Cricetulus griseus: one gene and its partner. The protein of the gene in region 1 purifies or fractionates together with the protein of each later gene. This does not show direct contact. Links are inferred from orthologs where the notes say so. Each region holds a gene or a part of one and is shown on either strand. Other genes may lie near its edges.

Evidence for each region.
Region 2: the proteins of Med13 (region 1) and Cdk19 purify together in Homo sapiens (affinity purification with mass spectrometry; 6 studies listed by BioGRID and IntAct, counting the BioPlex papers as one, with this or other methods). This does not show direct contact. The link is inferred for Cricetulus griseus from reciprocal best matches to the Homo sapiens genes MED13 and CDK19.

What each region holds. Positions count from the first base shown.
Region 1 is NC_048600.1:99,606,532-99,610,977, reverse strand, and holds the start of Med13 (mediator of RNA polymerase II transcription subunit 13), read left to right. Parts: upstream 1-1,569; 5' UTR 1,570-1,693; coding exon 1,694-1,759; intron 1,760-3,618; coding exon 3,619-3,853; intron 3,854-4,446. UniProt on the Homo sapiens protein: Component of the Mediator complex, a coactivator involved in the regulated transcription of nearly all RNA polymerase II-dependent genes.
Region 2 is NC_048595.1:262,901,041-262,905,432, forward strand, and holds the start of Cdk19 (cyclin-dependent kinase 19), read left to right. Parts: upstream 1-1,306; 5' UTR 1,307-1,559; coding exon 1,560-1,687; intron 1,688-4,392.

The DNA of each region.
Region 1 (4,446 bases):
TTTCTCCCTCCCTCCCTCCTTCCTTCCTATAATCATTTTAAAGCTCTCAAGGAAATTTTTTTGAATTCTTACACTGAAGAGTAAGCCAGCCCAGAATGATTGTTTGGGGGATGGAATTAACATCATATGTGGTTCTTCTTCCCATTCATTTGTAAGTTTTCAAATATCAAGTGCCTACTGTGTGCTAGGAACCTTTTAAGGCAATGGACAGCTAGAAAGAAAGTACCAATTATCATGATTCTTACTCTTAGAGTTCATTTGCTCCTCAAAATAACCATATAAAGTAATGATGGCAATATAAAAGTGTATGGCTTTACCGCACTCATCTGCGCCAGGCACTGAATTAGAACTCTGGTTGCATTAATGCATCATATCGCCAATATGAGGCTTGTTTCTCTCATTTTACAGATCAGGAAACTGAGTCTCAAAGAGGCTCCAGCTTCAAATCCTGTACAGCATGACTTTATCCCCAGTTTACTAGCCACAAGGCTATATTGTTTCACTTTTACCTCGTTATTATAACTCTTATAAAGGGCGGCTGAGGCTGATCTCCATCCAGCTCTGATTCTCAAGTCCAAGAGTTTTGAGCTGTACCCTGGAGGCCTTATGGAATAAATGAGAATGCATTGGAATTTTTTGTTGTTGTTGTTGTTGCCAACTTTCTCTTCCAAAGAATTCGAACTGATTTCCAAGTAATTCTCGTTGGTTTTGAAGTGAACCTTCCTGTACTGCACATTCTCCAGCCAGGAGAAAGCTAGGGCCAAGGCCCGGGTCATCTTAACCGGGGCATCCAGCAGATGGCGCCATCTTAGTAGCCACCAGCTGGCTGCCCGGTCCCCGGGGCTCCGAAAGCTTCTCTGCTCTCCCTCACTGCCTTCTCTCTCCCCCTCCCCACGGAGCCCGGGCCCACGTGACCTCACGGCGGCCAATGGGCGAGCAGAGAGGGCGAGCTGGTCCCTGTGGCCGCCATTAAAGCGAAGGGAAAACCCGTGAATTCGGATTAAAGGGGGAAAAACACCGCCCGCTGGGCCCACAAAATGGGGGAGACTACGGCGTACAGGCGGTGAGGCGGCAGGAGAGCAGACGTTAGGCAGGCTTGGCCCAGGGACAACACGAGGACGCAGCCGGAGAATGGACTGAGCCCTCAGACGCCGCCACCACCTCCGCCGCCGAGGAGACTCTGGGCTTAAGGACATCGCTCCTGCCGGGCCGGGGGCCCGGGCTGCTCCGCCGGTCCTCGCCCTTCCCGCCCCTCCGCGGGCGCCCCCGGGCCGGGGAGAACCCTCCCGGGCTTCAGGGCTCGGCCCGCTCGGACTCGGGCTCTTGACTATTTATCGTGTAACTGATAATTTTTTTTTGTTTTTTGTTTTTTTGCTTTTTAACCTTTTTTTTTTTTTTCCCGGTGGAAGGGGCACACATCCCTTCCCCTCCTCTCCGGAGAGGGACGCGCGTCCGCGAGCTCCGCAGTCCGGCGGCCGGCCGGCCGAGCGCGGCGCGGCGCGGCCCCGCCTGCGGCCTCGGCCCGGCGGCTGGGTGCCCGGGGCCGGGGGGCGGCGGGGAGGGCGGGCGGCCCGGCGGCCTCCTCCCCACCGCCCCCCGCCCTCCCCGGTGTCTGTGTTTCTCTCTCTGGTCGGAGGCGGCGGTAATGGCGGATGGTGGGTTGTGGCGCCGGCGGCGGCTGCTGTGAGGGACGATGAGTTCCTCCTTCGTGTCGAACGGGGCCAGCCTGGAAGATTGTCACTGTAACCTCTTCTGCCTGGTGAGTGCGGGGGCTGCGGGCGGTGGGGGAGGGGGCCGCGCCGGGCGCCCTTGGGCCGTGGGGGAGGGGGTACGGGTCTCATCCAGATGCCGGTGTCCCCCGGCTAGGCCCCGCCGGAGTCGGCCTCCTGCGAGGCTCTGCGGCCGCCCCGGGAGACAGCGTCCGCTCACCTACCTACCGGCCAGGACTCTGCTTGGAAGAGTCTTGTCTTTCCCCTTCTCCTGTCTTGTTTTGGACGCTTTTTTCCCTCCATCGTAGTCTTGTCCTTAACTTGGGTTTCTTATCTGGCCGGACAGTAATATTTTCTTGAGTGCTTCTTACTTACCACCCCACCCCCCCCACCCCGTATCGAACAGTGTATCTATCCCTTTTTCACACTTTTCCATGATTGTCCCTCCTTCACTCCCTTTATGCTTTTCCCTGCTAATTGGACTTCCCTTAAACAGGACCCCCCCAAAAAACTTACGTATTAAAGCCCCTCTCTTCGTTTTATAAGTTAAGCTAACACAGCGGTAGTTTCTTATGGGTGACTTCAGATCTTTGCGTACAAACGGCGTTCATATGTTTTCTTTTTAAACTTTGAAAACATTTTGCCATTTTGACAATTTCTAGCCATCTTGCTTTTATTAGAACATTATGTTTTTGTGAGAGTGGAGGGGCTAATGGAGGAGGTACTGTGGTTTCGCACTAAACGTTCTATGTTTGTCTGTTTTGCTTACGTTTAAAGAATGTTTTGCGCTGGCTGCTCCTTTTATTGAACTGAAAAGTCTGGGGACGCTGGATGTAGGAATGTTGTACTGTGTAGGTTGGCCCCAGTCGGGTAATAGCCAATAGTTTTTAAGACTTCTCTCAAAAGTACCAACTGTTGCAAATATCTAGTCCTTAATTAGGCGATAGCTGAGTTTCGTCAATGACTTTATGTTGGAGTGACTTTTTCATTTTTTTTTCCTGTGCGATGAGAAATATTAAGTCTATCATAGTTAAGTGAATTAAGTGGGTGGAGCATAACTAGTTGGCAAGCGTAAACTGCCAGTCATGTATCAGCAGTTTCATTTTTGGCACCTTATGCTTTCTGTCGCTAAGTTAGAATAAAGACTTGCTGAATTTCCTTTGTTGAATTTCCTTCGCAATGGTAAATGGGGATCTTTAACGAACTTCTACGTGGTGGAATATTTCTTGACAGTGTCCAGTAATCAGCATCTTCACATGTAGTAAGATGTACAGCATACAGCAGGTTTAACATTTCTGTCTTTCCCAACTGGATCTATTTTTGGCACTTTGGTTCTTTGAAGATAGATTAGCACAAATCTGACAGCTCTTTGGAAGTAGTTCTTTTCCTAAAGATGTGTGCTTGTGAAGAATTAACAGGCTTTTTTTTTTTTTCCGTTTAGAAAATTGTTCAGATGTCTTGTTAGAGCCTTGACTTCTTACAAACTTGAATGAGGGTCTTTAATTTTCAGTTCACCAAGGAACAAATGTGACTGACCAGTTAGAAAAGAATGTAGGGCAGAGGAAAGATAGACATACTGTGCAGTACTGGAATGCATGTTTAACATCATTGTCTCATTTATTAAATTCTGGATATGTTGTTGTATTTATTATAGATGTGCTATTCAGTGATATTGTTATTACTGTTTTTTAAAACTGTTGTGTGTTCTTTTCCTTAAGTTCTTGCTGGTTGAAGTATTAGAATTATTTGCATGATGTTTGTTATTTTGGTCATAGTCTTTAAATGTCTTAGGCATGCATTGAAAATAGTGATGTTTTAATGAAATCAGGTACTTTATAATGATTTTTTTTTTTTTTTTTTACTTAAGTGAATGTACAATAATATAGAAATCATGTTTTCTTTTCTTCAGGCCGACCTGACAGGAATTAAGTGGAAAAGATACGTATGGCAAGGCCCAACTTCTGCCCCTATTCTGTTTCCGGTGACAGAAGAAGACCCCATTTTGAGCAGTTTTAGTCGATGCCTTAAGGCAGATGTTCTTGGTGTTTGGCGTCGAGATCAAAGACCTGGAAGAAGAGAATTGTGGATATTTTGGTGGGGTAAAGATCCCAATTTTGCTGACCTTATTCACCATGACTTATCAGGTGAAAGCAATTTATTATTTTTTAAATCTGACTTAGCAACATTGTACATTTTCCCCAAAATGTTATTGGTATTACAAATTATGGTGTTAGTGTGTATACAGTTTACACAGCCTTATTAGTGTGAAGCAGTAAGAATGGTTTCAGTGTTTTATTTCACCATGATTGTTTTACTTTACGTAAAGTATCCATGTATATTATGGAAGATTTAAACTTTGAATAACTTTCTTCTTCCACCACCCAGCTTCCTTCCTTAATTTCTCACAGTCACTTTGTACCCAGGGAAGGCATTTTCATTGACCTAAGAAAAATGGAATCTGGAAGCATTCTCATAGTTATGTAATACTTTTGAAGCCAAGTGTAACTTACCTTTGAGTCTGTTCTGCTCTGATCTCTTTTGTGTGACACTGTGGGCGGTTCTAGAAATGTAACTTTATCTGGCATGTTTTTCAAAAGTATATTATTTTTATGATTATTTATTAACCCAGGGAAGCATATGCTATTTTTTTTTTCTTTTGGGGGGGCGGAAGCGGCTCTTAAATACTACTTCATCAAAGATTATATTGAGAGACAAGAGACAAGTACCACCTTATTTA
Region 2 (4,392 bases), on another chromosome or scaffold:
TTTGAAGTTTTAGTAGGTAGTGGAGACAAATTAATTAAGGTAAGGTGAGAGAAAAGAATAAAGATAGCCTCCCCAACAATAATGTTGTCTACGAATAGCTAAGCTGCCTTACTGATAAAGATACCCTATAAAATTTCTCTTACAAATTTAACATTCTCTTTACAAAAAATGTTCCCTTATATTTTATTTTGGGTAGTGGAAGGGAGCTGAAACTCGTGTGTTGGATGGATCTCCATTTCTTTTAGTTTAAAAATAATCAACACGCAGAGGGACACATTTTTAGCGTGGCACTTTCTAGGCTCTTACATATTTTGAGCCGACGTGTCCTGAGCCCCAGACATCAAAACGAATCAAAGTCATGATTAAGATAAATTTCTTAAAACCCCTAGGTGAGTCTCACTATTATGCATATACTGTAAAAACGCTTTACAACCCAGCAAAAATGATTGTTTTTAAAACGCTGCATTTTCCAATCTTCCAGGCACTTTAATTGTTCTCAGACAGATGGTTAAAGCTCGGCTACCGCACCCCGCATATGCTAGGATAAAACCCGACTGGAGCGCCAAGAAAAAGATAATTGGCTGTGGGCCCGAGAAGTTACACGGTTCCCCTAGCAAGAGCTGGGAAACCGCTGAATGTTCAGGTTTTGAAATACGGTTTTTGCATCGTAAAGAAAAAAGACTAACCTATCAGGAAGAACCGAGCACATCCAATTACCAATCAAGAGCGGGAAAGAAGCCAAAGCCGGAGATACCCATGCACCCACGAGGACGTCATTCTTCAGCCTCTGCCAATAAGCCGCGGCCAGGGGCGGGGCAACGGGAGGATCAATTGCCCAAGAAAACAAACAATGTGTAGTACAACTGTCGAAACCCCGGTCCTCGGCTCCGGATGCCCCGGAATGAGCTCCGGCACTAGGCGCTCGTGAGGTGCTTCCAGCTCCCTTCGCCCAGGGACAGCCAGAGCCGGTTATCTCCTTTCCAGCAGAGCAAAGGCTTCCCTCCCACAAGCTCCCACGGGCTTGCAGAAAGCTCGCTGCAACTTCGCGCTATAGTTTACGGGAACAGCGAGTCGCGGGCTACCTGAGGGGGTGGGGCGGAGACTGTGCGCAGGCGTTTTTGCCTTGTGGAGGCGTGGCCGAAATGGCCCAAGGAACCCTGGGAACTGTATTCCTTACCTCCGAGGAACTAGCACGGTTCCCGAGGCCTGTTAAACCACATTTCCCAGGATCCCCCGCCACCTCGGGGCGGGCCGCTTGGCTTGTTAATGAGTTCGAGAAAGCCGCGGCGCGGCCCACCAGGTTCCAAAACAAGGAAATGAAGGGGGGAGGCGGGACTGTGGGTGCCTGCGGGAGCCTCCGCCGCCGCCGCGGAGGAGGAGGAGGCGGAGGAGGTGGCTGCCTCGGCCGCCGAGGAGTCCCTTGCTGAAGGCGGACTGCGGAGCGGCGGGCGGCGCGCGCGCGCCCGAGCGGCGGCTGTTGGAGAAGTGGAGCGGCGGCGGCGGAGGGACTGAGTGGCGGCGGCCCCCGCGTCCCGGTTTCTCTATGGGGGAAGCAGACAATGGATTATGATTTCAAGGCGAAGCTGGCGGCGGAGCGGGAGCGGGTGGAGGATCTGTTTGAGTACGAAGGGTGCAAAGTGGGACGCGGCACCTATGGGCACGTCTACAAGGCGAGGCGGAAAGATGGGTAAGAGCGCGGGCGGGGGAGTGGGCTCGTCCGGTCCCCGCCGCTGGGAGACCCGCAGGGCTGGGTGGGTCGGAGCCCACGGGGCGAGGTGGCGTGGGTCGCGGAGCGGCGTCCCGGGGGCGAGCCGGAGGCACTCGTGCTGCCGCCCCCCGCTGGCCGGTCGCGCCCCTCCAAGTCGCTCGGCGCAGCCCCGTCGGGGGGCGTCGGTCCCGCCGCGAGTCGCCGCTGCGTGCTTACAGCGGGCGACGACCTGGTGGAGACCGCGCCTGGAGGTGGAGTTTGGAGGTCTGGTCCCCGGGGACTCGGAGAGGTCTGGGAGGGCTTGGCTGAAGAGTTACCGCTATGGCCCTGTGCTGGTGACGGTCGTGGAAGAACTTCCCAATCGGCGCAGCGCCTTCCCGGGGCGGCGGTTTGAAAGCTCGCGGGGGCGCCGCCCGTGTGGCGGCAGCGCGCTGAGGGTCCTGGCGGGCCCCTGGGGTCTGACTCTGGATGCTGCCAACCCAGTCTGCATCCCTGATTGCTCACCTGCTCCCGATTCCACATGCTAACATTCTGAGTTTAGCACTCTGAAGGTGGACCCTGGAGAGATTAAATGTTAGTGTTCTTTGGTGCCTACCTTTTCTTCCTCTTGGCTATCTTGGGTACCGCCTACCCCCCCCCCCTTTTTTTTTTTTAAGACAGGGTCTCTGCTCTCCTGGCTGGCCTGGAACTCAGAGATCCGCCTGCCTCTGCCTCTCAGGTACTGTGATTAAGGACATGTGCTACCCCCCTTTTTTTTCTTCAGGAAGAAATATTGAGTATTATATCCTCCATTTCCCATCCTCTTGTCAAATGGCTGCGTGCTTTGGTTGTGTTTATCGAAAACCTAGACCATCAAGAACAGAAAACGGAGTGACAGACCCAGGCCTGAACCACCGGTTCTTAGGAGTTGAGGGAATTTATAGGAATCTCTTGGGGAGCATTATTTGATTGTTATATTAATAATAATGCATCGAGAATGTCTTCTTTGGGCCAGAGCAGGACGGATGGAACCCGCTTCTGGCCTAGGAATGGTGGGTTTTAAAGCCGGTTGTTTCCTTGGTCCCATCCTGGAAGGAATTCCTTTTTGCTAGGTTCTGGAACTTGGAAAGAAAGTCTCCAACCGACCCTAAGGAGTGTCAGACTATACAAAAGAGAGTTTTTAGGATCGTGTTGGAGCATTTTTGATAAGCAGATTGTCACCACACTTTAGATTTGAAGTGCTACTTAGGGTTCCTTCTTGCACTGCTGTAATTTGATTGGCTGGGTGACGGAACTCCAGCATCAAAGTAGTATGTGCTGATTTTATTGTAAGAGGAAAAACAAAACACATCGTGTGAAGTGTTTCATATACAGTGCTCTGAAAATTACAAGAACTGTCCAGGTTTCAAGGATGATGATTACTGTTGTAGGTACAACTGTAGAGGTCAAGTTACTCAGTTGAAGGAGTTGTTTCTTTTAATTACCATGTGTCCTTGAGGGCTCTCCTGGGGCTATAGGTGCTGTAATCGAGTTGTGCTTTGTTTTTGGAGTATCCACAGTACTTTTTAAATTGGTATTCCAGTGGGAGTCTTTACAGGGATGATTGGGGAAAGCAAATCCATTGCTACTATTGGACATTGTTGTTATAAAATAACCGAGGTGGATCCCCTCTCTCCCCAAGCTAACTTTGTAGTACACTTCATCTAGAATTTAAAAAAAAAAGTTTTAAATTTGAAATATTTTTATTTTGCCTGGAAACTGAGAGAAGTTAAAAATAATTCTGCTTCTGAATTGAATTGAATGGCTGGGCTTGCAACAAAACATAGTGCCTTGTTCTGTTTGTTTCCCAGTGTGTCTCTCTAATAAAGATCTTGATTCAAATACACTTTTTCCTTGAGTGAAACTGGTAAATTAGAGTAAATAAAATAAAGTCAACTTTTGTATTTTCAAAGTAGATTTTAAAAACAACAGCAACCCCCCCCCCCAAAAAAAAAAACCCCAAAAACCAAAAAAACAAAATCCATTTAGAGCCAGAGGCAGAGGCAGGCTGATCTCTCTGAGTTTGAAGTCAACTGGGTCTACAATTCCAGGACAGCTAGGGCAACACAGAGAAACCTTGTCTTGAGAAACAAAACCAAACAACAAAAACTCAAAACCAAACAGACAACCTCCCCAACCCCAAAACCAAAGAAAACCCCGCTTAGAATATGGGTTGCACGCCACATAAACTGGCCTTGATTTAATCCCAACATTTAGGAAGTGGAGCCAGGCAGACCAGAGGTTCAAGGCCATACTTGGCTATACACAAGTTCCAGCCAGTCTGGGGTATGTGAGGCCCTGTCTCAAAAAAAGTGGAACATAAAAGTTTATAGTGACAAGTCTGAGGCAATATTTTTTCTAGTTAGGAATACTTATAATAAAGGAATATTGTTAAAAATTTCTTTTCATTAAAAGGGTCAAGAAATCCTGATTCCATAGCATAGGATTATGTGTGAAAACTTGCCTAATGTGAGTTGGATTTCTAAGACTAACTAAAAACAAAAAGTTCCTTTTTTAATTCATGTTTCTAAAAGGCACTTAATTCAGGGGTTCTCAACCTTCCTAATGCTGCCACCCTTTAATACAGTTTTTCATTTTGTTGTGACCTCCAACCATAAAATTATTTTTGTTGCTACTTCGTAACTATAGTTTTGCTAGTTATGAAT